Linked DNA regions of Drosophila melanogaster. The protein of the gene in region 1 interacts with the protein of each later gene in a pairwise test. Each region holds a gene or a part of one and is shown in the gene's direction. Other genes may lie near its edges. The genes, in order: trbd, CG13124, CG31244 and CkIIalpha-i3.

Region 1 (7,549 bases):
ATCATCATCGAAACCAAAAAGATTCGACCGCGTTTGACTGCGTTGCGCTGGGGATGACGTCGCCATTGGACGAGGTGCCACTCTGGTAGGAGTGATTTCTTTTGAAACAGTGGCCGTCACGTTCTTCTTCCAAGACGGCAGTGTCACTACTTCTAGTATGTTAATATCCTTAAAGGGCGTTCGTTTCTGCAGCGTTCTCCGAGGATTCGGCAGGTGCACAAAGTTCTCCGCATTCTCTTCGCTTTCCTGGTCATTGATCGACATCGATTTGCTAATTGTGGGAGGGGGACGGTTCTCCTCATTCGAGTCGTTCGCATTTGAGTCATGATTTTGCTCGTGCAAAGGCGGACAAATGGATTCCTCGTGAGGGATGTTCTCAGCATGCTCTACCGGCGAATCTGGCACATAGACATGCCGACGTTGCACATGATCACTGGAGTACGATGGCATCTGGGAGTTGTTGAAACCAAACATGAAAGTATTGGGCAATGGTGAATCGTCGGAAACGCGCCAGGGGGATTTGCCTCCCGCGGTCCTAACTGCATTTGGAGACTGGTGGGCAATAGGCGACAATGCAGTGGTGGTGGCACTAACATCTGTCACCGGAGGAGCTCTGCGATTCAGCGGCGTGCTAACCAATTGTCGCGCCATGTTGATAAGTTCTCGACGTCTGTCTGTAGATGGCAGTGGATTTTGCGCCTGGGTCTGGTTAAGCATTACGGATCGGGCCAAATTACTGTAGGCTCCTTCGTGCGCTTGCTTAGAAGTGCTCGGCTCCACATGTACCTGGACGGGCACTTCGATGGGCTGCACGTATCCGTGCTCCGAATCGTTGCTATAATCTTCCTCGGGCTCGAAAATGGTCGATAAGGAGCGTGATGGCTTTTGAAGGCGCGGTTCTATGGACTTGGGAACGACCTTGACTGGCTCAGGCTCATTGTCTTTTGTCGAAACCTTTCTTCGATTACCCACAGGTCGGACCTTCTTTGCTGTTCTTTTGGCTCTCGGTTTGCCGATTTTTCTTGACCGCACCATTACGCAGGCCTTTCCATCCTTAACCAAACGCTGAATTATGTCTGCCGCCGGATCCTCCCTGTCACTGTCATCTTCGATCTGCGACTGCGACAGAAAATCGAAAACGTTGCGGGTCACCGATGATCGTGTCCTGGTTAAAGGCTGATCTCTGTGGAAGAAACGAGGTGGTTTTTTGGGCGAAATCTCAGCTGCCGGTCCACTAGGGCTTTTACTCCTTATGCGTTGCTGACATGGCGATGTTTCGGGACCTGCAAGTAGTTGTGCTTATCAAGAAAAGTCCATCATCCGCCTGGTGAGAGCCTCTTACCTGCCACATTTTCCTTGATATTTTGGGGTTGCGTTGATTTCTGTACCTTCGAAGGAATGTACATCGTCGAGTTGCGAGCCGGCTCAAAAGTGCTGGCATCCACATCAGGCGCATCATTTCGAGAAATTTCGGATACGACACCGTTTTTTACCTTAATGCGCCTTATTTTTACCACGCATTTTCTTATGCGACACTCTGGCTCGTTTAGGGCTGTCAAAGATTGTTTGTTTGATAGTTTCGTGGGACGCCCGGGTTTTCGTATTATCGTGGTCAAATCAGCTCCGAGTTTCTTGGGACGCCCGGGTTTACGTATTGTGGTCAAATCAGCTCCGATGGACAGCTTCTTGGGACGCCCGGGTTTGCTTATCGTTGTGCTTAAGTCAGCTCCGATGGACTGTTTCTTGGGACGCCCGGGATTGCGTCTCGTTGCGGTGTTCACATCTGGCGACGGAACACACGGCACCGGCCGTGTTCTTACCATTTTAAGAATATAATTTGTTTACCAAATGAAATTCATGTACAGCTCCCGCCATTTTATTTACTAGTATGACCATCCCCCGATCTCTAAGACTTGCCATGAAAACCACTGAACACCAGTAGGTGTGAAGCTTGACTAACCAGCTAACCGAGACACTTTTCAACACTGAGCGCCAGGGACGGAGCACCGATAGTTGTCGATAGGCGGACAGAGAACCAGATGATTGGCCTCGCAATAATGTAAAAAATAAATAATTAGCTGTTTCCAAATAATCCAAATTCCAAATTCCTTGCACTACGATCCACCGTGCGTGTGTTCGTCGCCGTGAATGTGTGCGGGCAGTTTCGTTTCACGCGCCCCAAGCAAGTACAGCTGAAAATTGAGAAGGAAAGCAAGAAAGAAAACCCCCCAAACTGAAAATCGAGTGAAAGTTTTCTCATCGTCTTTGTTTTGTAATTGTGATTTTCCTGCCTGCTGCCAGCGCTCATTACTGGCAATATTGGATCGACGTCGACATAGTGTCGCTGCTGCGGGCGCGGGTGGCCGACGGCGACTATAGCAACTACACCTTATAGCTACTATAATACTAATGCTATACTCGCGGTCCCTATTGTGATTGTGTTATATATTTAAATCGACTCGATTCGAATCGAATCCAATCGCTGTCGTGGTCGCAGTCGCATTCGCGTTTTCTGGGACTGCTGCAAAAGGCCTTGCGATTTTCTGCGCCAGGTACTGTGTAAAGACGTCGATGTGGGAAGGGGGGTGGAGGCGGTTGTGGGATGGTTGGGATGGCACGGGGCGAATCCCAATAAGAAACTAGCGCGAAAACTGGCATACCAGCGTACATACATACGTACGTACATCGCACGCGACACATGCCATACATACATAGGCGAATTATAATGGCAACAAATAAATGCAACCGACCCAGCAGTTGAACCACTACCACCTATACCACCACTACTACCAAAACCAGACCCTATCCAATTCATTCCAATCCAATCCCAGGCAACGAGAACCCGAAGGCTGACTGTGACGCCAGTGGGGGAAATGGAAATGGAGCCAAGGCAGATGTACATATCTGTGGATGTATCTGCGAATTATGTCTCAGGGTCAAGGACACTGCTTCTGCCTCGCTAACCGTTGTTTGACCTTATTAACGAGTCGGAAGTGGTGGATTCGCCGCTCACCGACTTTAGGGATACCCTTTCGGTTCGCTTATCCAAAGAATAGTAGCTTAGTAGATACATTCATTGGTAGATAGTTGTCCCCCAAAACGAGTCATGCATATAGTCTTTATACTTTGCAAAATAAGTCAAGGTAAATTGAAATGTCCTCCAAATTGTAGATTTCCCTGCGTACTTATAAATCCAATATTAGTTTTTAGATAATCTTTTTCTTTTGAATGCAACATCTCATTAACTTCCGACAAAAGTCAACATAGCTATACATTATTGATCAAACTCTTCGTATCTTCAACCAACTTCGACTAAAATGATTGTCTAAGCTTACAATTGTTCAGAAATTAAACTATTTTGAAGTAAAAAAGGCAGCCAGGTGGATTTGACTAGTAAAAGCATATTTTATGGGATCCCCTTACTTGGTGACACTCGTGTATCCCATATCAAATATTCAACGTATGATCCCTTTCTCCTTGGCAGATCAACTGCATTGGCCGGCTCCGCGCATAAACAATGTGCGATACCAAAGACGATGCGCAGAAATGGAAATGTGAAACTTGCACCTACGAGAACTACCCATCCTCGCTGAAATGCACCATGTGCCAGGCGTCCAAGCCGCTGCTCAACGAGGACATCTTCCGGTATGACAACTCTGACGATCTATACCTAATCTTCTGCTAATTAATACTTGCTAATTCTTGCAGTCTGAGTCCAGCCCAGGAGAGCTGCACCGTTGCGGAGGAGGCGGCTGCCGTCGAAGTAGCCGTAATGTCGCCCACACCTTCGTCCACGTGCTACTCGCTCCAGCCGCAGAGCCAGGCACGGCAGAGCAACGTGGCGGACAGCGAAAAGTGGCCCTGCAAGGTGTGCACCTATCTCAATTGGCCGCGGAGCCTGCGCTGCGTTCAGTGCTGCACGAAGCGCGGTGGCGAGGCGATAGAGCGTGGCAAAAAGGACATGGATAACGAGGCGGACGGGGATCGTGCAGGAGAGGCGCTGCAAGCCCTTCGCATCAGCGGCTCGGAGGAGAACCTGGCCAATAAGCCGGTTCAGCTCATCGGCGCCACGGCCTCCCATCGTTTGAGCCTTAGTCGTGGCATAGACGATGCGACCCATCTGAACAATCTCGCCAATGCGTCTCACAACCAGTCGCAGTCCCAGCACCGGCAGCCTGTCCTACAGCAGCAGATGCAGCTCCAGCTGCAGCCGCAGCAACAGCGGGAATCCTCATCCTCCGCCGCCGTCCCGCCGCAGCAGCAGAAGCAGTGCTATGTCTCCAAATGGGCGTGTAACGTAGGTTTTCATATCCCAACCAATTCGCTCAGATGTACTTAAAGTTAGAATTTTCCTTAGTCTTGCACTTACGAAAACTGGCCGAGGAGCATCAAGTGCTCCATGTGCGGCAAGACGAGGGAGCGGGAGATTAGTGGGTCGCAGAACGACTTGCACGCCTCATCCAGCCTAAACAGTCAGGAGGAGAATCAGCAACAACTGCAGCAGCCAAACGTGGATACCGTCAGCGTCAATAACTCGTTCAATAAGAAGCACATTTACCAACTGGGTAAGAGTTTTTAATGTGATTTCTCTGGGTATGACTAATTGATATTCACTTTCCAGGTTCTTCGGAAACCATCAACAACTGTGATACGCTGCAAGAGCGTCAGGAGCGCCGCCAGCGTCAAATCCGACGACAGGTGGACTGGCAGTGGCTGAATGCGTGCCTGGGCGTCGTGGAGAACAACTACAGCGCTGTGGAGGCGTACCTCTCCTGCGGTGGCAATCCAGCCCGTTCGTTGACCAGCACCGAGATTGCCGCCCTCAACCGCAACTCGGCCTTCGACGTGGGCCACACCCTGATCCACCTGGCCATTCGTTTTCATCGCGAGGAGATGTTACCGATGCTGCTGGACCAGATCTCCGGTTCGGGGCCGGGCATCAAGCGTGTGCCGTCCTACGTGGCTCCCGACTTGGCGGCCGATATCCGGCGCCACTTTGCCAATACCCTGCGCTTGCGCAAGTCCGGTCTACCCTGCCACTATGTGCAAAAGCACGCCACCTTCGCCCTCCCCGCCGAGATTGAGGAGCTGCCGATACCCATACAGGAGCAGCTCTACGATGAGCTGCTCGACCGCGACGCGCAGAAACAGCTGGAGACGCCGCCGCCGGCCTTGAATTGGTCGCTGGAGATCACTGCTCGCCTGAGCTCACGGATGTTTGTACTGTGGAACCGCAGTGCTGGCGACTGCCTGCTGGACTCGGCCATGCAGGCCACCTGGGGCGTCTTCGATCGTGACAATATCCTTAGGCGGGCACTCGCCGACACACTGCACCAGTGCGGGCATGTGTAAGTTAAACGAATTTGTTTTAACAACCGTCAGCTTATTAATAGTCTTGATACTCTTATTGTAGGTTCTTTACTCGCTGGAAAGAGTACGAGATGCTGCAGGCTTCGATGCTCCACTTTACGCTGGAGGACTCTCAGTTCGAGGAGGACTGGAGTACACTACTGTCATTGGCCGGCCAACCCGGCTCGTCCCTGGAGCAACTGCACATCTTTGCGCTGGCGCATATCCTTCGTCGGCCGATTATCGTTTACGGCGTGAAGTACGTCAAGAGTTTTCGGGGCGAGGACATTGGATACGCGCGTTTCGAAGGTAGCTATTAATTTTTACGTCGCTGTATTGCATTTATTTGATTGCCTTATTTCTAGGTGTCTACTTGCCTTTGTTCTGGGATCAAAACTTTTGCACCAAGTCACCGATAGCACTGGGCTACACACGTGGCCATTTCAGCGCCCTGGTGCCGATGGAGCCATTCACTCGCATCGATGGGCGGCGTGACGATGTGGAGGACGTAACCTATCTCCCGCTAATGGACTGCGAGCTGAAACTTTTGCCCATACATTTCCTTACACAGTCGGAGGTGAGAGCTTATTCAAATATCCTGTAGAACATTGTGAGCTTAGACATTTCCGTTCCTTGCCTGCAGGTTGGCAACGAGGAGTCAATGATGCGTCAATGGCTGGACGTGTGCGTAACTGATGGAGGCCTACTGGTGGCGCAACAAAAGCTAAGCAAGCGTCCCTTGCTGGTCGCCCAGATGCTGGAAGAGTGGCTAAATCACTACCGCCGCATTGCGTAAATATGACTTGCTCTCCTTCCGGACATAGACATGCTAATTAAACCTGTAAACTTTCTTTCAGACAAGTGATAACGGCGCCTTTCATTCGTCGCCCTCAAATCACACATTACTCCAGTGATGGCGACTCGGATGAGGAGTAGAGGATATGATGCGGCACATCCGTCACCCAGCTTCTGATTAGGATGCTGTGCATAGAATTCAATATCCTTATTTTGTACTTTTGGCGATCGTTAGCAGATTTTTGAGACAGGAATAACAAGTGCAGATCCTACACTCTTGCACTCGCAGCTAGCTAAAGGAAACTATAGAGAATACATATGCATATATGCAAGCAGTTGAAAGTTGTAGTTGTAACTAAATTGAAAGCAAACTAAAGGTTAAGTAGCAACGTACGAAAATAGATTGATCGACGTATGTATATCATATCCGTTCCCAAGTCAACGTTCGTTGATTTTAGTCAAATTTATTCACACTGGGTCGTCGAGGCAATATAGACCACATTTACTACGAAATTGAAGCTATACACTGGTAGATTTAATTACACTCACATGTGAAACAATCCATTAAATGATTACGTGTACGAAAGGCAGATGCGAATTTAAGCGGTGGAATTTGTACACCTATGTACGCGGTAGTTAATGTGAATACCCAAGCTCCGGACTTAAAATATTGCAAATCTCAATGTACTATTAAATTTTAAATGGGTGGCGAACACACAACATAATTATGCAGCGGGTGAAAATGAAAGCGTCATTGAAATGTTTATTGATAGTTTTTAAAACACTTTTTGGAATTATTATGAATCATTATACATTCATGCCTATAAATATAATATCTATAATTATATAACATATATAGAAATCCTATGGTTCTAGACAGTTGAACAAAGGGCCAATAACATAATGAATTTTATTCTTATTGTATTATAAATGGAATTTTATCTCATTATTATTTTTGTTAGTAATGTTATTACAATTATTATTATTAACTTCTAAGAAAGCTTATTGTGCAAATGTACACGCAAAACGCATAAAAAAAATCACTTATTTAAATAAAAGTTTTAAGTAAAGATTTAAACGGAAACAAAATGACTATAGTTGAATTTATTTTAATAAAGTATGGACTTTCCTACTTTATTGCCCAAACTAACTTTACTAGTAGATAGATAAAAAAAAGTAGTTCATTATTATTTCTGTCTCTATAAAGTACAAAGTAAATTATAAGCAGCATCATTTATGGAATTACTTGTTATTTTTATAGATTATCAAATTTATAGGGAACGGTACAGTGGCACGAACGGTGTCATCACTAATACATGCTCTTCCACAGCCGAGCTCCCCACCTTTCCAATTGTAGCCAAGTTTAACACCCAACCGCTATTTCCATACGAAACTTATCTTTGGG
Region 2 (7,720 bases), on another chromosome or scaffold:
GCTGCAGAACAATCTGCTGGAGCTAATCTCTCTGCTCTGCTTCGTGATGCCCAAATTCTTTGCCAAGAGCATTGAGGACATAAAATCGTTGTTTGCTAAGGTAAAACAAAGATTGGTTTCACACAAAACAATATATAAACTTCATGTTCCTTGCAGAAGGGAAAAAGCGATGGAGATCAGGATGAGGTTTCACAGTTCCAGGAAACACAAATCCAGAGAGCAAAGCGTATCATGAAGCCATTTGTACTCAGACGGCTTAAGAAAGATGTCCTTAAGAACCTGCCCAAGAAGCTAAGCCTGGTGGTAAGTACGTCGGGCGAAAATAAATATTATACAATAATTAAATTGTTTTTTATTTAAAGGAAAAAGTGCCCATGAGCAGTCAACAGAAAATATACTATCACGAGCTGGTCGATTATTATTCCAATAACAAGGGCGAGGTGTGCAGCAGCAGCGAAAGGGCCGGCATAGCGATCATGATGGAGATGCGCCGCATTGCAAACCATCCGTTGCTGATGCGTCACTACTTCACCGACGCCAATCTACGTGGATTCTCTAAGCGCCTGGCTAATGCCAGTTCCTTTAAAAAGACCAACGAGCAATACATCTTTGAAGAGCTAGCCGTTATGTCAGACTTTCAGGTCTATCAGATGATGAACAAGCATGTAAGTGACTATCAAAGAGGTTGTCCAATGACAATGACTAAATTTGTGCATCTTTCAGGAGTTTTACGACGTGAAAATACCCGATAATTTGATATGCGATTCTGGAAAATTCCTCTACCTGGATACGTTGCTTCCAAAACTGAAGGCAGAAGGACACCGTGTGTTGCTTTTCAGCCAGTTCACCATGATGCTGGACATTGTGGAGGAGTATCTGCGAATACGAAAGTTTGGTTTCTGTCGCCTGGACGGGGCGACCGCCGTAAATGTCCGCCAGGATTTGATCACCGACTTCAATGGGGACGATAGCATCTTTGTGTTCCTACTCTCCACCAAAGCCGGTGGCGTTGGCATCAACCTGACGGCTGCCGACACCTGTGTCATTCACGATATCGACTTCAACCCGTACAACGATAAACAGGCCGAGGATCGGTGTCATCGCATGGGACAGCAGCGTCCGGTGACCATTTACCGTCTCATTTCCGAGAGTACCATCGAGGAGGGCATCCTGATGGCCGCCGAAGAGAAGCTAAAACTAGAAAAGGACATTACTTCCAACGAGAAGGGCGAGGTGCACGAGCAGCGATGTGTGGTCAAGCTGTTGACCACAGCCCTTGGCTTGGACAAGGATCAGGAGGAGCAGCTAAACAATTCACTAAACAACTCCATAGCCTCGCCCGCCAAATAGGCATTCTCGTTGTCCTCGTTCTCGTCCTTGTCCCCACCTCCGTATTTATTCTGCGCGAGCATTTGATCAACTTGGTCTAATCGTCCTACCGCTGTCAAATCCTGTTAACATCGTTTGAATTATTCTAACAATATTGTATTTGTATATTTTTTAAACTTGTATGCAAGGAGAGATTTGGTGTATGGTATGCCAAAAGTGGATCATAAATCGAGTTAGTAATTTTTCACCGTTGAGGCGACATTAGTTTTTCTTCATTAGTAACAGCAACATTTCCACGATAAACCAAGGCAGACAAGTTAATATTCTTGTTTTATTGATTTGTCATCATGATTAGTTTTCATTTCTGTAATTTCTGTTTATGTATCGAATTGAAACTATTGTTATAAGGATAAAGATCATTTTGTGTACGAATGCGATCATGTTCATTTATTTCTACATATTTGCTCTATAGTTCGAGCCGCTCGACAACCCTAAACGGATCGCTCTCGCATTTTCCCACGAGATTCTTTTGGTTGTGTGGTGCAAAGAGAAGCGGAGAATCGCTTTCCAGAGAGCACAACTGTAATGAAGAGCTTTCGGCTGGCGCGGCGATTCATCAAGTCTTTAGTCTTCAACTGATCGCTCGCGCCGATGATTTAATTTTTAAGTTAAAGCCTGCGCCCAGTGTAGCAGCCGGCAGCGTTACTCACATCCATATACATACATACGTGCGAATATACATACATGCTCACATAATACGGCGTACATCGATAAATAGATATACCCCGCAGATATAGTGTCTCGATCGACAGCAACGAACCCATGGAAACCTAAAGTAAAACCAAAATTCCAAGGTTCCATTGTCCCGTAGTTAAATGTGTTTAAATCCAATTACATCCCCGATCCTTTATATTTTGCTCTTACGAATCGGGATTATGTGATTCATGCATAAGTACATACGTTTCCTCCCCGAATACTTTCTTGAATTCTATTTAAAAATAGACAAACTGTTTGCGAGCGGAAATCATATTGTGCCGCGGCGGCGACTAAAACGCTAAATAAATCGGGCCAATAATTTGAAATAGTCTGTTCTTTTTTTTATTTTGTCTTTCTGCCAGCCCGCTGATATTATTGTTTTTGACCAACGGAAACGGAAGCAACGCCAACTGCATATAGGTTTATAGATGTATCTACATAGTGCTGCGATACAGTCATCATTCGCAGCGCTGTCATATACTATAAATATAGATGCGGCGGCACATGTGAGCAGTTTTTGGCAATTGCCAAAGAATACGGCGCACAAGTCGGGTGAAAACAAACAGCGCGTGCAGGCTAAACATGAAGAGTAGTATAGGAAAATATAAATAACAATTAATAATCCCCTCATTTTGGCCGCGCCTGTATGCGTGTAGTGACCGCTTGTATGTGTACGTGTGAGAGTAATCCGAACAATAACTATATTATATACATAAATAGCGAGCGATCTGCATTAAATGAGAGAAAAATCACAATAAAAAGAAAAACGAACGAACACAACAACGCGAACAAAAATTAAGAAACCAAAACGGAATCGGTAATAATTGACGACGAGCAGACAACGAGCCGAGAACAAGCAGCACAAAGCGACAAACCAAAAATAGACGATACCAACGGTGCGTATACTTAACGAGCCACCCGCTCATATCACTCATCTCGCCCTCTCGCTCGCACAGCAGCCACCAGTCATCCGAGCAAAAGCAACAACAATAGGCACTAAAATCAATTGTGATCACAGTGCGTTTGTGTGAGTGCGTATGCGTATGCGTATCTGTGCCTTTTTTTGCATTTGCCGCTGTATCTGCCTGCATCTGTATCTGTGTCTAGAGGCCCGCAATCCATAACCATCTAGTGTATTACCCCATATGCGGACTATTTGGGCGTGGAGGGACGCTTCGAAATATTAATTATTTCTGACACTGTTTACGGCTTGACTTGGCGCATGCCAAGCATGATTAAACGAGACACGAAAGAGCGTATCTACGAAGTAGATAAATATCTTTATACGAACAACTAAGCTGCGGCACCAAGCAACAATCGAATCGACGAATAGCAACAACGCACAAACAAACCCATCTATATATACACTATAGACAGAGATAAACAAAAGCTCAAGCAGCAACAGCAGCAGCAACAACGAAACAATTTGAAGGAAATATTTTTGCACTAAAAGGTGAGTATATCCGTCCATCCGACGCTGATTCATAATACCAGCCTAGCTTATTCCGAGCACTCTGTTTGGCAATCTGAGAATGGGAAGTGTAGAGCAATTAGCGAGGCAAGTTCACATTGCTATGATAGTAGTCACTCTCACAGGGCAGTTAACCTATGTAAGATTCTCTAAGTTCGTTAATTACCACATTTTGACAAGTTCATTGTTTTATTGATATAAGTGGATGGTACATATAAGTAAGAAGAGTCAAAGATTTATTCAAGCCACATTTTGTGATAATAGATGGTAGAGAGGCCTGACTGTACAATGTATCTTTCGTATGTATCTTTCGCGGAGACTCACTTCGGACTTCTTGTGGGCCGCAGAATAAGAATTACTCGGGGGCTGATGTCATGTTCGGAGATGAAGTGCTCTAGCCAGAGGTTCCAAACCAGATGCAACTCCTACGCTCGGCCATAAAGCCGGTTGGTTGCTCGACAAGATCAAGTAGTTTGCGCCTCCCTCTCGCATGTGGGTTAAAGAGTTTTTGTGTATCTTACTTGATATATGTTGACAATAATATAATGCGATATGCTGAAGTATATAATTAATTTTCATTGTATTCCAGACCCGGCAATCTGAATCTGCAAAAGGGGAAGATATCCCTCAACATCGTATTAAGAAGAGAACTCAACTCGATAAAGGAGGAAAGGAAACCAACTATTGTGATATGTACAAATTTACTCAAATACTGAAGCCACACATTTAGACGTTTATTCGACGGAATCCCAGTTGTGAATCGATTAACCGGAGGATAATCTACCAAAGATTAGGCTTTCATCTTCAATTAGGTTTTACCCAAATAGAGCAGAAGCAGTACTCGCGCAAAAATCGCAGGATGGCCGAAAAGGTGGAACTACTGGCCCAGGCCAGCATGAATGGCCAACAGAATGATACGCGGAAGGTGCGCAAATCACCGGAATTTCAGCCCGGCGTTATCTCCCGCGAACGCAGCTTTGTGCGCACCTCAAATCAACAGGTGGGTACACCATATCGATGTCGATTAGCAGCCATATTTATATAATTGTTTGTTCATTCAGAATATCAACAAACGGCGAAGTCTGGCTTTCAACGTACCTGGCAATCAGACGGGACAGATGAGGGGCAAACCAGCCATGGATATCTACAGGCCTCCCAGTGAGTTGTTTTAGTCATTCGTTATAAATTCTCTAATTCGCTTGGGTGCTTGGCAGGGTGCTCGGTGCTAAAGAAGTTAAAGAACTCAATATAATAGAGAATTTTTATATTTCGAGGATATTTAATCGGTATTATTTTAGTGGTGGCTTAGAAATACAAACACATCAAGTGTAGATATATGCATTTGGACGAGAAAGGTACTGAATAATCAAAAACATACATGTACATATAACGATATTTATTATAGGCATATTTTATAGGGACTATTTCCGTTTTTTTTCCAGCTTAGTCCTTAAAAAGTGAGATTGAGCATATTTAAAAATGTAAATATTAAATGTCAATAGTCACATATGTACTTCAGCCAGCCCAGCTTAAGATGCTCTATTCTTTGCTGCCAGCTTATCAGTTCCAATTAATACTTACTGAGACCACATTTTTCTTTTGATTCTTTTCATATCTCTGTCTCATACCCTGTACATTCCGTCCCTCCACACAATGTTGTCCTACCCCCCAACATCATCACATACACTCTTGGGTATACCGACCCTTCCCCAACAATAATCCCCACTTGACTCTGTCTCAGATGTGCGCGGAGAGCTAGCCGCTCCAGCCGGTGGTGTCGGTGGTGATGGTCCGAATGGTGCTATCGGTGGTGTCGCCAACAAGCTGAACGTCAATGCCCAGGAGTTCACAATGACAACCAGCTCCGGGGCACCGGCCGAGGCACTCGGCAACCGGTAATGCAAAGTCTTTTAATTCCATTGTTTACCCCTCTTCCCGTCTCCTTGCAGAGCTAAACTACAGTCTACAACATTCTTCCAGTTCGTCGCTAATACTTCCGCTCACCAATGGACCCGGAGTGGGAGTTGCACCGGGTTTGGGTCCGTACGGAAACGTGAATCGCCGCCAGGCCGGACACTCCCTCGGCAACATGCCGGGCTTGAAGGCCAACCACCGGTCGATCCTGGTGACGTATCCAATCAATACCGGTGCCCTCAGCGGTCAGCTGCCGCTAATGAACTCGCCATCCAGTGGAAATATACTTCACGTGAGCTCTAATTTAAAAATATTGGTAAAAAAAAACAATATTTCAATAAATAAACACCTAAATTCCAGACAACAAATCGTGTAAAGTTTGCACCTGAGCCCCGAGGTCACAAAGTGGCTTCGCATAATCAGTTTGGTCAACTAAACAACAACTATGCTCAGCCTTATCAGGCGAATATTAATGGAGTAGATCCTTACATGAATGGAAATGCACTGCAACGCTCCAAGTCGTTGTCGTCGGCGGATGCCCTTACTCGTGGAATGGCCGGATTGGGACTAGGTTTGGGCAACGAGGTGGCCGACATAGGACAGTTCACGCCAGAGATCCAGGCGCTTATTGACACGGCCCTGGAGGATCCCAATAAACTGAACTCTCGCTGTCTCATGGAACTGACATCGCAGTTCATCAAACGCGCGGTGGAGAGTCGCCGTTTTGCTCTGCCAATATCACGACTGTGTCTGAACATCATTGCCCGGGAGCAGAAGGAAACGTTTCTCGAGGCGCTCCTCAACACATGCCGTCAGTGGTACCAGGAGCGTGAGAAGGTAGGCAATTCAGCATAAATTTCCATGATCATTTCATATTTAAAAATCTTTTACCCCGCATGCAGCTGTTGTTTGCCATCCAGGGCATGAAGTCGCCATCACGTGTCCGATTCACTGCCTTTATGGCCTTCCTTACGGAAATGTTTTGTCAGCTGAAACGTCGGCAGCTCCAGCTACGCACCCACCACGAGGGCACTCCTCCGCCACTGGTACTGCTTAGTCTGCTCTCCAAATGTTGCGGGGATTGCGTGCGTCCACCCATTAGATCACTTTCAGAGGTACGTTTTTGATTGATCAAGTGGTTGGAATAATACATGTGATTACTATTCATAACTTTCAGATTGAGTGCTTGTTTTATGTTTTGACCTGTATTGGCCAGGACATGGAGCAGCAGTTGCCCCAGCAACTGGAGTTACTCATGAGTCTGGTTCGCGATGCCTTTTTGAATGCCGGCGAATCTGCGGCCTCCATTCGGCGCACTCTTCTCCAACTCATCGAGCTGAAGGCCTCCCACTGGCAGCTACCAGGCAATACGGTTCTTTACTACACGCACACTAACAATTAGGAACGAGATCTGGAGCTGGGGACATGGCGGGGATAAGGGCACTGTGCAAGCATCAGGACACCATGAGCAATTGATTCTGTTGTCGCATTGCATTTAGGGCCTGGAAAACTTCTGTTCTATTTATCTTATTGTATTCTTACCTAGACATAAGCAATATTTATTTCGGCAGCAGCTATAGAGAGAAACTAACCCGAGACTTGCACACTACACACCAAGCACAGTACCAAATAAGATCGAACTCTTGGATTCGATATCTTTGGACTGTGCTATAATCTAAGGCTCAACATTTATGTGAATCCATATATTTATGTGTAATAAATCACAGCTAGTCAAACGAGGGTGCAAGTTTATTTTATGCGGGGCACTGCATTATTGGTCATCACAAACAAAAAGACAATAAAACAGTATGCTTCAAATGCATACAAATTTTAAAAACTTATCTTTTTGGTTTTGTAATAATGACTCGCGCTTACCTGTTGAACTTTGTTGAACTACGACCCTGGACGACCTTATCAGCGGCCTGCTATGCCATTTATTCTGCTCCCTATTTAAGCACCAACTAAGGCTCAAAAATCCAGAGTCTTGCTCGACAAGTTGCAATGGTAAGTCGAACATAAGATTAGTAGTTACCTCATACCAATATTGTCCTTAACTATAGGTCGTTCTAAGTTGTTTTATTTGGCTTGCCCTTTATCACTCTGCAAATGCAGCGCTGGAGGGCAGTGAAATTAAGTTTGGGGACGAATCAACTACAGAATCGGCTGAAAAATATCCTGATTACTGCTGGATAAATCCTTTTCTCCCGGGCTGTCCATTTGGTCCGGGTGATGGCAATAATTCGACCACAA
Region 3 (3,333 bases), 9.7 Mb from region 1:
AGGACTCATACACAGAATGCTGCCCAGTCGAAAGCACTTGCTCTATAACCGGTAAGTGGATAGGTTTTGAACATTTTATCATATTTGAATTTTTAATCCTTGACTGCCCATTTGCAGGTTCAATATCTTCAAATCGGAATACATACAGAGGTCTCTCTTTGAGGATGTGAACGTGAATAGTTGCTTCGGATTTACCCGGCTTTGCGATTTATCTGTGGGAGATATGGTAGAAGTAACTTTAAATGGACTGATAGATTTGTGAGTATTCCTATACCCTTTACCTGTAAGTAACATGTTTATAATAGCAAAATTCGCAAATGTCGTGCTCCTTTGTTTGATAATAACAAATGGTTAAATACTTACAATACTTACGTTTGTTTTTCTACAGTCTTTTGCATTATCGAAGAGTTTTGGAGAAATACCCACTGCTGGCCTACCGTCGCTTTTGGTGGAAAAAGCAGCCGGACAGTAGATATCAACTGCTGGAGCCGATGTTGGAAAACAAACTAGCTCTCGACTATATGCCACCAAACAGTGTCCTTAAGAACTTCATATTCACAGCAATGGTATAATTATTTATATTTATAAATTTTTATTCGAACAATTTATACAATGATTTATGCTTAAAGACCGCCAACGAAAGCAGCGTTTACGCATTTGGCGATTACTTTACGTACAATATGCAGGAAACTATCGAACACCGTGTAATTCGGTCAAAGATTCTGAAGAAGAAAACGTCGCTAATCGAGGAGATGGAGGATGTGTCCAAGCAAAAGCTGGAAATCGAGTCTGTGGAGGTGCAAACAAAGTCGAATGCCAAAAGCGATGTTAAGGTGACGACGCTGCTGCTGCTACCAGAGTTTCCGCATCGCCCACGAAAGCCAAGAAAATACGTATGCGAACCGCTTTCCATGCCACGAATACTTTACGATTTGGGACAAAAAGTTCAAGCTGTGCATAGATATTTATAGTAAGTTTCAAATGGATTCATCGAAACCGATCCAGGTTTTTAACTTTTTTTATATCAATTTTAGCTGCGATAGTCGATCTGCAGCGTGGTCCCAGATTCGCCACAATCAGTGTGAGAATAGCCAGGGCAGGGAGCTTGTCTCCAGTGGATTGGCCTTGTGCAAGCCTCATGGTGGATGGTCCTCGATTGTGGTGCCCGACAAGGAAACCCTGATTACCGATGCTGGTAAGCTTTTTGTTCTTGACAACTTGCTAACTCGATTGAAGGCGAATGGACATCGAGTACTCATATACTCGCAGATGACCAAGATGATAGACCTGCTCGAGGTAAGTTTATTAAACTTGAAACGATCACTGTTCAGTTTAATTTTTTGATAAAATGTCTAGGAGTACATGTGGCACCGCAAGCATCGCTATATGCGCCTGGATGGCTCAAGCAAGATATCCGCTCGTCGCGATATGGTTGCCGATTTTCAAACGAGAGCAGATATCTTCGTGTTCTTACTGTCTACGAGAGCCGGAGGACTGGGAATTAATTTAACAGCCGCCGATACGGTGAGTTCATATTATACTTACTTTTTCATTTATGTATATTGATGTACAATATCAATTTTTTTTACCGTGCCTTTCAAAAAAGTTTGTCCCTTGTTTCGATTTCGTTTAATTTTTTCTTGAAATCACATTGTGAATTTATATTAGTGCCTTTTAAAAACTTTTCACTCATACGCTCTCCGAAATTTCTATTGTATTAGTCAAATCCATTCATTTTCAACAATAACTTTAAGTAGTCCAAATTTCAAGTTCATTTCAAATGCATAACAACAGCTGTTTAGAACCCATGGACAGGACCAAGACTACGAAACTTCCTCAGCTCAAGTCCAGCGTTACTCCCTACAGACCAAAGCCGAACCTAATCCGTAGTGATTCCCCGAAATTAGAGAACGATAAGCGTAATGGGCTGGACTTGGAGCTTCTGGATAATCCAGAGATACCGAGCGTAAAGCGAGTACGATGGGCTCCGATGTATGGGGAAAGGAGCCCGAGTAAGACCGGCTTTACCAGCGTTCCACTAAGCTCCAAAAAGGCGCAGTTTGATCATGATACGACAGATGAGTTAATACTGGCTAACGAGCTTCGATTAGCGGTGCATCGTGGGGGAGGTTCCATAGATCCCGACAAGAACTACGAGCTGAGGGCTCGACTGTCGCCCTTGCAATTGCCGTACAGTCGAGTGCAGCGAATTCTGAAGGAGTGCGAGTTGAGCGAGAGGAATCATCACACCTATAGTATACCCATGGACTATGGGCGGCAATTGGTTGCCATGGTTTGCAAGATCAGGACGGATAATCTCCCCGAACTGAAACTTCGCTTGGCCTCCTTACTGCGGCAAAACAAAGCGCGCTTCTTCAATCGACATTTATTCAACGAAACTGGCTTGATTGAGGCCACATTGCCGAGCGTAACACCATTAAGCTTTGAGGAATTCAATCAAACGTTGCGAATTGATGCTTTGTGGTGCAAAGCCACCGATAGTACCATTACCGATTTGGCCAAAGGATCTGTTTTGTTCAAATGTCGGCCTCTGGACCTGCAAGAGGTCGCGTACAAACTCAGGCAGTGCAACTACAAGATTGTACATAAGGAGGTTGGACACTGTCCAAACAAGCCGCTCGTCGAGTTAAATGATCGTCAAATGGCCCGCTATCAGGAGTTTCGTAAAAACCTTCTTCAAGACATAGATGTCGTAAAGATCTATGACAATGTGCGTGTCCAGTAGTTCAAGTCAGTTCGGCAAAAATCACAAGTAATTTTAAATTATCAAAAGTTTAAATTATCCGTAATACAAAACTCTTAATGACCCTCTAGAACTTTATCGTATAAACTATTTGTATAGTTTATTGTAAAGAATGTTTTCTCTATTTTTTTTTAAAGTGTGTTTTGATCAGTACTCTATTCAAGTACGAAAAATAGCCATATGTTTTCACATATGAGAGCGTAATTATAATTGGGACTGCTTTGAGTAGGTACTCAAACGTCGAATATATAAGCGGTGACTAATTTGGAAAGTCAAATAAATTTTAAATATAGTACTATGACTTCTTCCAAAATGTTTTATATTTTTTCATATGCAGGCTTAGCTCTTAGTTCTCTACATTATAGTAATTGTTCCCCATTCATTTGATGATTTATAGACAGGTTTGGGACAATATTTTACACGTCAGTATAGAGAGAGAAATTCCTTTGCCATTGTCCCGATCTCGGTGGCGGAAAAACCCTGTGTGGCTCTTGTATTCATTTGCTAAACTACTTGTTCATGCACTGCGGCAATCGATGGTGAATCTTGAGCAAGGGGTGGTGACGGGT
Region 4 (4,258 bases), on another chromosome or scaffold:
CTACAAAAATCAATATTGGTTTATTAAACTTTTTTTTACTGTGTATACTCGAGTATACGGTACCCGGTTATTTTACATTTATACTACTGCGCCCCTATCGACGAACTGTTTGGGCGACATCTAGCGTCTGTAAATGAAAGTCGCATTGCCGGTAGATGGCAGCACAGTAATAGTTATGTGCTTATTTGTAATGTATGTAGGTCCATTTCAATATTAACTTTCTATAATTAAGTTGCGGGAGGTCTCAACCTGCGGCAAGTACTCACTAAATCCTTACTGCGAGATTTTTAAATTCAAAAACTACATAATGGCAATTAAATGAGGCTAAGATGAGTATTTATATAAAATAAATGTTCTCTTCGGTAGCGAGTATTGATATAGATTAGGCAAAAAATCCATTTTCAAAAAACGAAAGCCTATTCCCATCTTTGTTTCGTGCAACCTTTTCGATAGTTATCGATAGAGAAAAATCGAAACACATATGTTTGGATCATGATACCTTTCTCTTACGCCGTCCGAAAGAACTGGCAGCCTGGGAAACAAAACTTATTCGTCATCAACTGAATAGCTATTGTAAACAATGGATACAAAGTGTGAGTAAAAAACATAAATTCAAGAAGAAAACTATATATATACTCACAATAAGCCAGCTTACGAAAGGAAGTGGTGTACATCCAACACCCGACTTTTATTGTCCCTTTACAATGAACGCCAAGCTGATTTTCGGGATCCGAAAAAAAAGATCAAGGACATTTGGGGGGAAATGGTCGTTGCCCTTGAAAGCCAGGGAATGACAGATATCGATGCAGTTCAGCTGGATCGAAAATTTAGGAACCTGAAGAAGACCTACTATAGCATAAGGAGCAAGCTCCTGGCGAAGGTACCGCATTTCCATCCAAACTGGCAGTTCTACGACGAGATGTCCGAAATTCTAAAGGATGACCCTGTCCCACCGCCGCAGGAACTTTCCATCAATGATTTCGATGAAGCGGTGGTCAGTTTGGAGACCGGTATCCAGAAAGGCAGGATGCTGTCTATGGGCACCACTGTCAGCACAGTTATTCCCCGCCAAATGCGTACGTATCGCAAACGAAAGCAGCCATTGGATGATGTCGATATCAAGATCCAGAAGGACTACGAAGTGCAAACGGATCGGCAGCGGGATGGGGAACAGTTTACAGTCTTTAATGCCGCCGAACCCAATACTAATGATTTGTCAGAGTCTGCGGCCGAGATCTCCATCAGCAACGACGAAGAGGCATTGAGACACCTAAGAGCGCTCCAGGAGTACGCCATGATCCATGATAATTTCAGGGCCATAGGACTGCTAATACAGGTGGAGCACGCCATTCAATATCCAGCCCAGATCAAGGACTTCGAGGTGGATCAAACGTAGTGTCCTTATAAACAAGCACGTAATCTACTGGAAAAGCAAAGATAAGATAAGGCACATACCTAATTTATACCTCTATATTTAAGATTTTAATATTTTATAATATATATACTTTAATTTACTTTATTTAAATATGGTTCATGCACTTGCTAACACCACTGAAAAATGAATCTGGTTCTAAACAAATCTGGCTTGGGTATTGGCTAAAATATTGCGCTGTGGCAATACCGTTTTCTAAAACCTATAGTTACAACAATCTAAAGGAATTTCACAAGAAAAACCAACATTTCTGAAATCTTATTAGTATTTTGAAGAGTAACAAAGTGAATCCTGCCGAGATCAACGCCGATCTGTAAGCAAGTTCGTCTTGGAAATTGACAAAAACCGAAAAATCTGGCAGCACCAATATGACACTAAAGGTTCAAGAAAAGACCTTCGGTTGCACAAAATAGAAAATTCAAACATAATTGAAAAGAATTAACTAGTATCGTGAAAACATGTAATACAGTTAATAAAAAGTTATAGTATTATGCAATATTGATCAAATGAAGCAAACTTTATCGATAACTTCGAAATTGCAACCCTAAATGCATCGGATGGGCAATACCAATCTGAAGTCTACAAAAAAGCATATTGTGGAAGTCTAAGTTTTGTTAAATTTATGGAAAAGGAATCCAATTTATCGGACAACTTGCAGTCCCGGTTATTTGCACTGGGTCCTGCCCCGCCAGGATTTCGTCCACCGGATGCTACCGCCTTTGCCACAGCGGAGTCAAATCTTCGTAATGCCATCCGCTACCTTAATGATACCTATGGCGAGCTCGATCAGCTGCGCACTGTCATCCAGAAGGAGAAGAATAACTCGAAGCGTACGTCCTACAAGGCGCAGTCCATGATGCTTGCCATGCAAGTGATACGTTTCAAAGGACTTATTGGGAAGTACAGGGACATTCTGATTGGCCTGCAGGATGCCGAAATCATCAAGGTCAAACAATACATAGAGCAAATGGTGGAGATGAGGAACAAAATCCAGGCAAAGACCGATCCCACACAGCGCGAGTTCCAAGTGGGCAGCTCAATCTCACTGGTGCAGGAACAGCGCAAGACCAAGAGAATCTGCCGCAGGTGGCGGGATCGCCTGGTCCAGCTGACGGAGGCCAAGATGGACAAAACTGAGCAACTTACTGAGAAACCAAAGCTGATCAATGTAAGAACCGTTACAAAAGAACTTATACATATTTTCATTGCGCTTCCAATATCCATCCATGTTTTCATGAAAACTCTCATCGAATTCTGATCGAATTTCGACTGAACTCGATATGCTTTTTTAGAAACCTAGAAATATGTTAAATGCAAAAACCAACAAGTGGAAGGAAGCTGTAAGCTTGGTGAGTATAGCCAAACATATAAAGGATAAGTTAAATGCTAGTAAATATAAAACTAATCCTAGCAACAAAGCGGTCTAATTAAAAGTGGCTGTAAGAGGTGTGAATACCTAAGAAAGCTGACTAAGAATCGTCCATCCAAACTTTGTAAGGTGTGTAAAAAATGGTCTGATGATGAAAAAGCAAAAGCGGCAGGAAATAAGAAAGCCAACAAAACGCCAATAATGGTATGACACTATTGAAAAGTCGCAACATAAATTAATACTATTATTGCAGGCGAAGTCGAAAAAATTAGAAGTACGCGTGCGTACGGATTCTGAAGAAGCTATAATTAAAATAGAGATAGAGGTGGGTGTGTACAAGTAGATCAACAGTAACATTAGCACTTATTATTAATTTTCTTAGCATGGTGAATTTACCGATGAAGAGGAAATTGGGTCATTGGAAAAGGAAACGACCTTAAAAGATGAGATCAAGGAGGTTAGTTGTTTCTTCAACCTGAAAAATGTGTTTAATTTTGGAATGTTTTTTTTTAGACTGTTGAATCTCACGACACGGCAGCAGTTGAGGTAAGTAAACAGGTCCTTGGACTGTAATAGAACTAACGTAACGATAAATGACTCAATGACAGGAGGAAAATGAGACCAGTCAAGACGATGTGGACCCCAAAGTAGTCGCTTCCTTACAAAATTCACTGAAATCCATCGACTGTAAAAATATGGCCTTGGCCTACGTGAAGGTCTTACAGGAGTACGCCATGTTAAATGATAACTATCGGGCCATTGGACTACTTACTGAAGTTGAAAAATCAGTTTTAAATCCGCCTCAGAACGAGGATTTCGATCTATGATCTTATTGACGCCACAAAAATAAAGTTTAGTTTTTATATGTAATCTACAATTAAAATGTTCGTGTGTCCTGCCTTTGAGAGTCAAGACCCAAAATGTGTAAATAATTGTAATATGCGAAAAGAGTTTATAGAGTGGAATAACCAACAGGGTCCCACTTAAATGTGGTAAACGTTAAATTAAGCACTAGATATAATTTGAGCAAAAATAGCTTTATATATATGTATGTGTACATATCAAACCAGTTTCAGCTCAGATTAGGTGGTAATGCGATTTGTGTTTTTCGGCATGTTAAACCAGTTATAGCTGCTTTAGCGAGAGAATATTTACTCTCGATCCGAAAATAAATCCCATACCGCGAACGAATACCACCACGATCGGAATCGGAACGTGGGAAGTCGGTTTAGATCGCGAGAGAAAGAGCGGAATGTCTCTCGCAAAGATACGGTTTTTGCCGCTCCGCCAAACGGAGGAGAGTCCAGATCTCTGCAATGTTCGGACCGCATGCTCAGTCATTGAGTTGCACTCGCTCTGGCAACTTTAAACACGTGCGACCGCACATATTTTCTGTTTAATGTGCCTAAAAAACTGCTGTATATTTTCAACAAAGTGTACTTTATGCTCTAAGCTTT

What was found.
Region 2: the proteins of trbd (region 1) and CG13124 interact in a two-hybrid assay, tested with the Drosophila melanogaster proteins (one large-scale study listed by BioGRID).
Region 3: the proteins of trbd (region 1) and CG31244 interact in a two-hybrid assay, tested with the Drosophila melanogaster proteins (one large-scale study listed by BioGRID).
Region 4: the proteins of trbd (region 1) and CkIIalpha-i3 interact in a two-hybrid assay, tested with the Drosophila melanogaster proteins (one large-scale study listed by BioGRID).

Annotation. Positions count from the first base shown.
Region 1 is NT_033777.3:9,705,484-9,713,032, reverse strand, and holds trbd (trabid), read left to right. Parts: upstream 1-1,995; 5' UTR 1,996-2,552; intron 2,553-3,484; 5' UTR 3,485-3,517; coding exon 3,518-3,645; intron 3,646-3,708; coding exon 3,709-4,297; intron 4,298-4,357; coding exon 4,358-4,565; intron 4,566-4,621; coding exon 4,622-5,348; intron 5,349-5,413; coding exon 5,414-5,658; intron 5,659-5,714; coding exon 5,715-5,926; intron 5,927-5,992; coding exon 5,993-6,141; intron 6,142-6,206; coding exon 6,207-6,285; 3' UTR 6,286-7,037; downstream 7,038-7,549. Other genes in the region: dmt (dalmatian), read right to left, coding at 1-1,283, 1,343-1,823. UniProt on the Drosophila melanogaster protein: Positive regulator of the Wnt signaling pathway. Specifically cleaves 'Lys-63'-linked ubiquitin chains. May act by deubiquitinating APC protein, a negative regulator of Wnt-mediated transcription.
Region 2 is NT_033779.5:9,902,869-9,910,588, reverse strand, and holds CG13124 (uncharacterized protein), read left to right. Parts: upstream 1-1,955; 5' UTR 1,956-2,164; exon of another isoform or gene 2,165-2,281; intron 2,282-2,733; 5' UTR 2,734-2,981; intron 2,982-3,041; 5' UTR 3,042-3,538; intron 3,539-4,145; 5' UTR 4,146-4,415; coding exon 4,416-4,556; intron 4,557-4,617; coding exon 4,618-4,714; intron 4,715-5,297; coding exon 5,298-5,451; intron 5,452-5,505; coding exon of another isoform or gene 5,506-5,536; coding exon 5,537-5,762; intron 5,763-5,830; coding exon 5,831-6,307; intron 6,308-6,372; coding exon 6,373-6,585; intron 6,586-6,647; coding exon 6,648-6,872; 3' UTR 6,873-7,210; downstream 7,211-7,720. Other genes in the region: Etl1, read left to right, coding at 1-100, 157-303, 363-665, 724-1,350; Muc30E (mucin 30E), read left to right, coding at 7,472-7,474, 7,531-7,720.
Region 3 is NT_033777.3:19,396,930-19,400,262, reverse strand, and holds CG31244 (uncharacterized protein), read left to right. Parts: upstream 1-1,695; 5' UTR 1,696-1,780; coding exon 1,781-2,746; 3' UTR 2,747-2,833; downstream 2,834-3,333. Other genes in the region: INO80 complex subunit, read left to right, coding at 1-51, 118-258, 389-566, 630-970, 1,035-1,296, 1,357-1,524.
Region 4 is NT_037436.4:708,080-712,337, reverse strand, and holds CkIIalpha-i3 (CKII-alpha subunit interactor-3), read left to right. Parts: upstream 1-1,976; 5' UTR 1,977-1,980; coding exon 1,981-2,028; exon of another isoform or gene 2,029-2,054; coding exon of another isoform or gene 2,055-2,090; coding exon 2,091-2,600; intron 2,601-2,724; coding exon 2,725-2,781; intron 2,782-2,843; coding exon 2,844-3,005; intron 3,006-3,054; coding exon 3,055-3,126; intron 3,127-3,183; coding exon 3,184-3,258; intron 3,259-3,314; coding exon 3,315-3,347; intron 3,348-3,409; coding exon 3,410-3,628; 3' UTR 3,629-3,737; downstream 3,738-4,258. Other genes in the region: CG13896 (uncharacterized protein), read left to right, coding at 581-593, 651-1,396.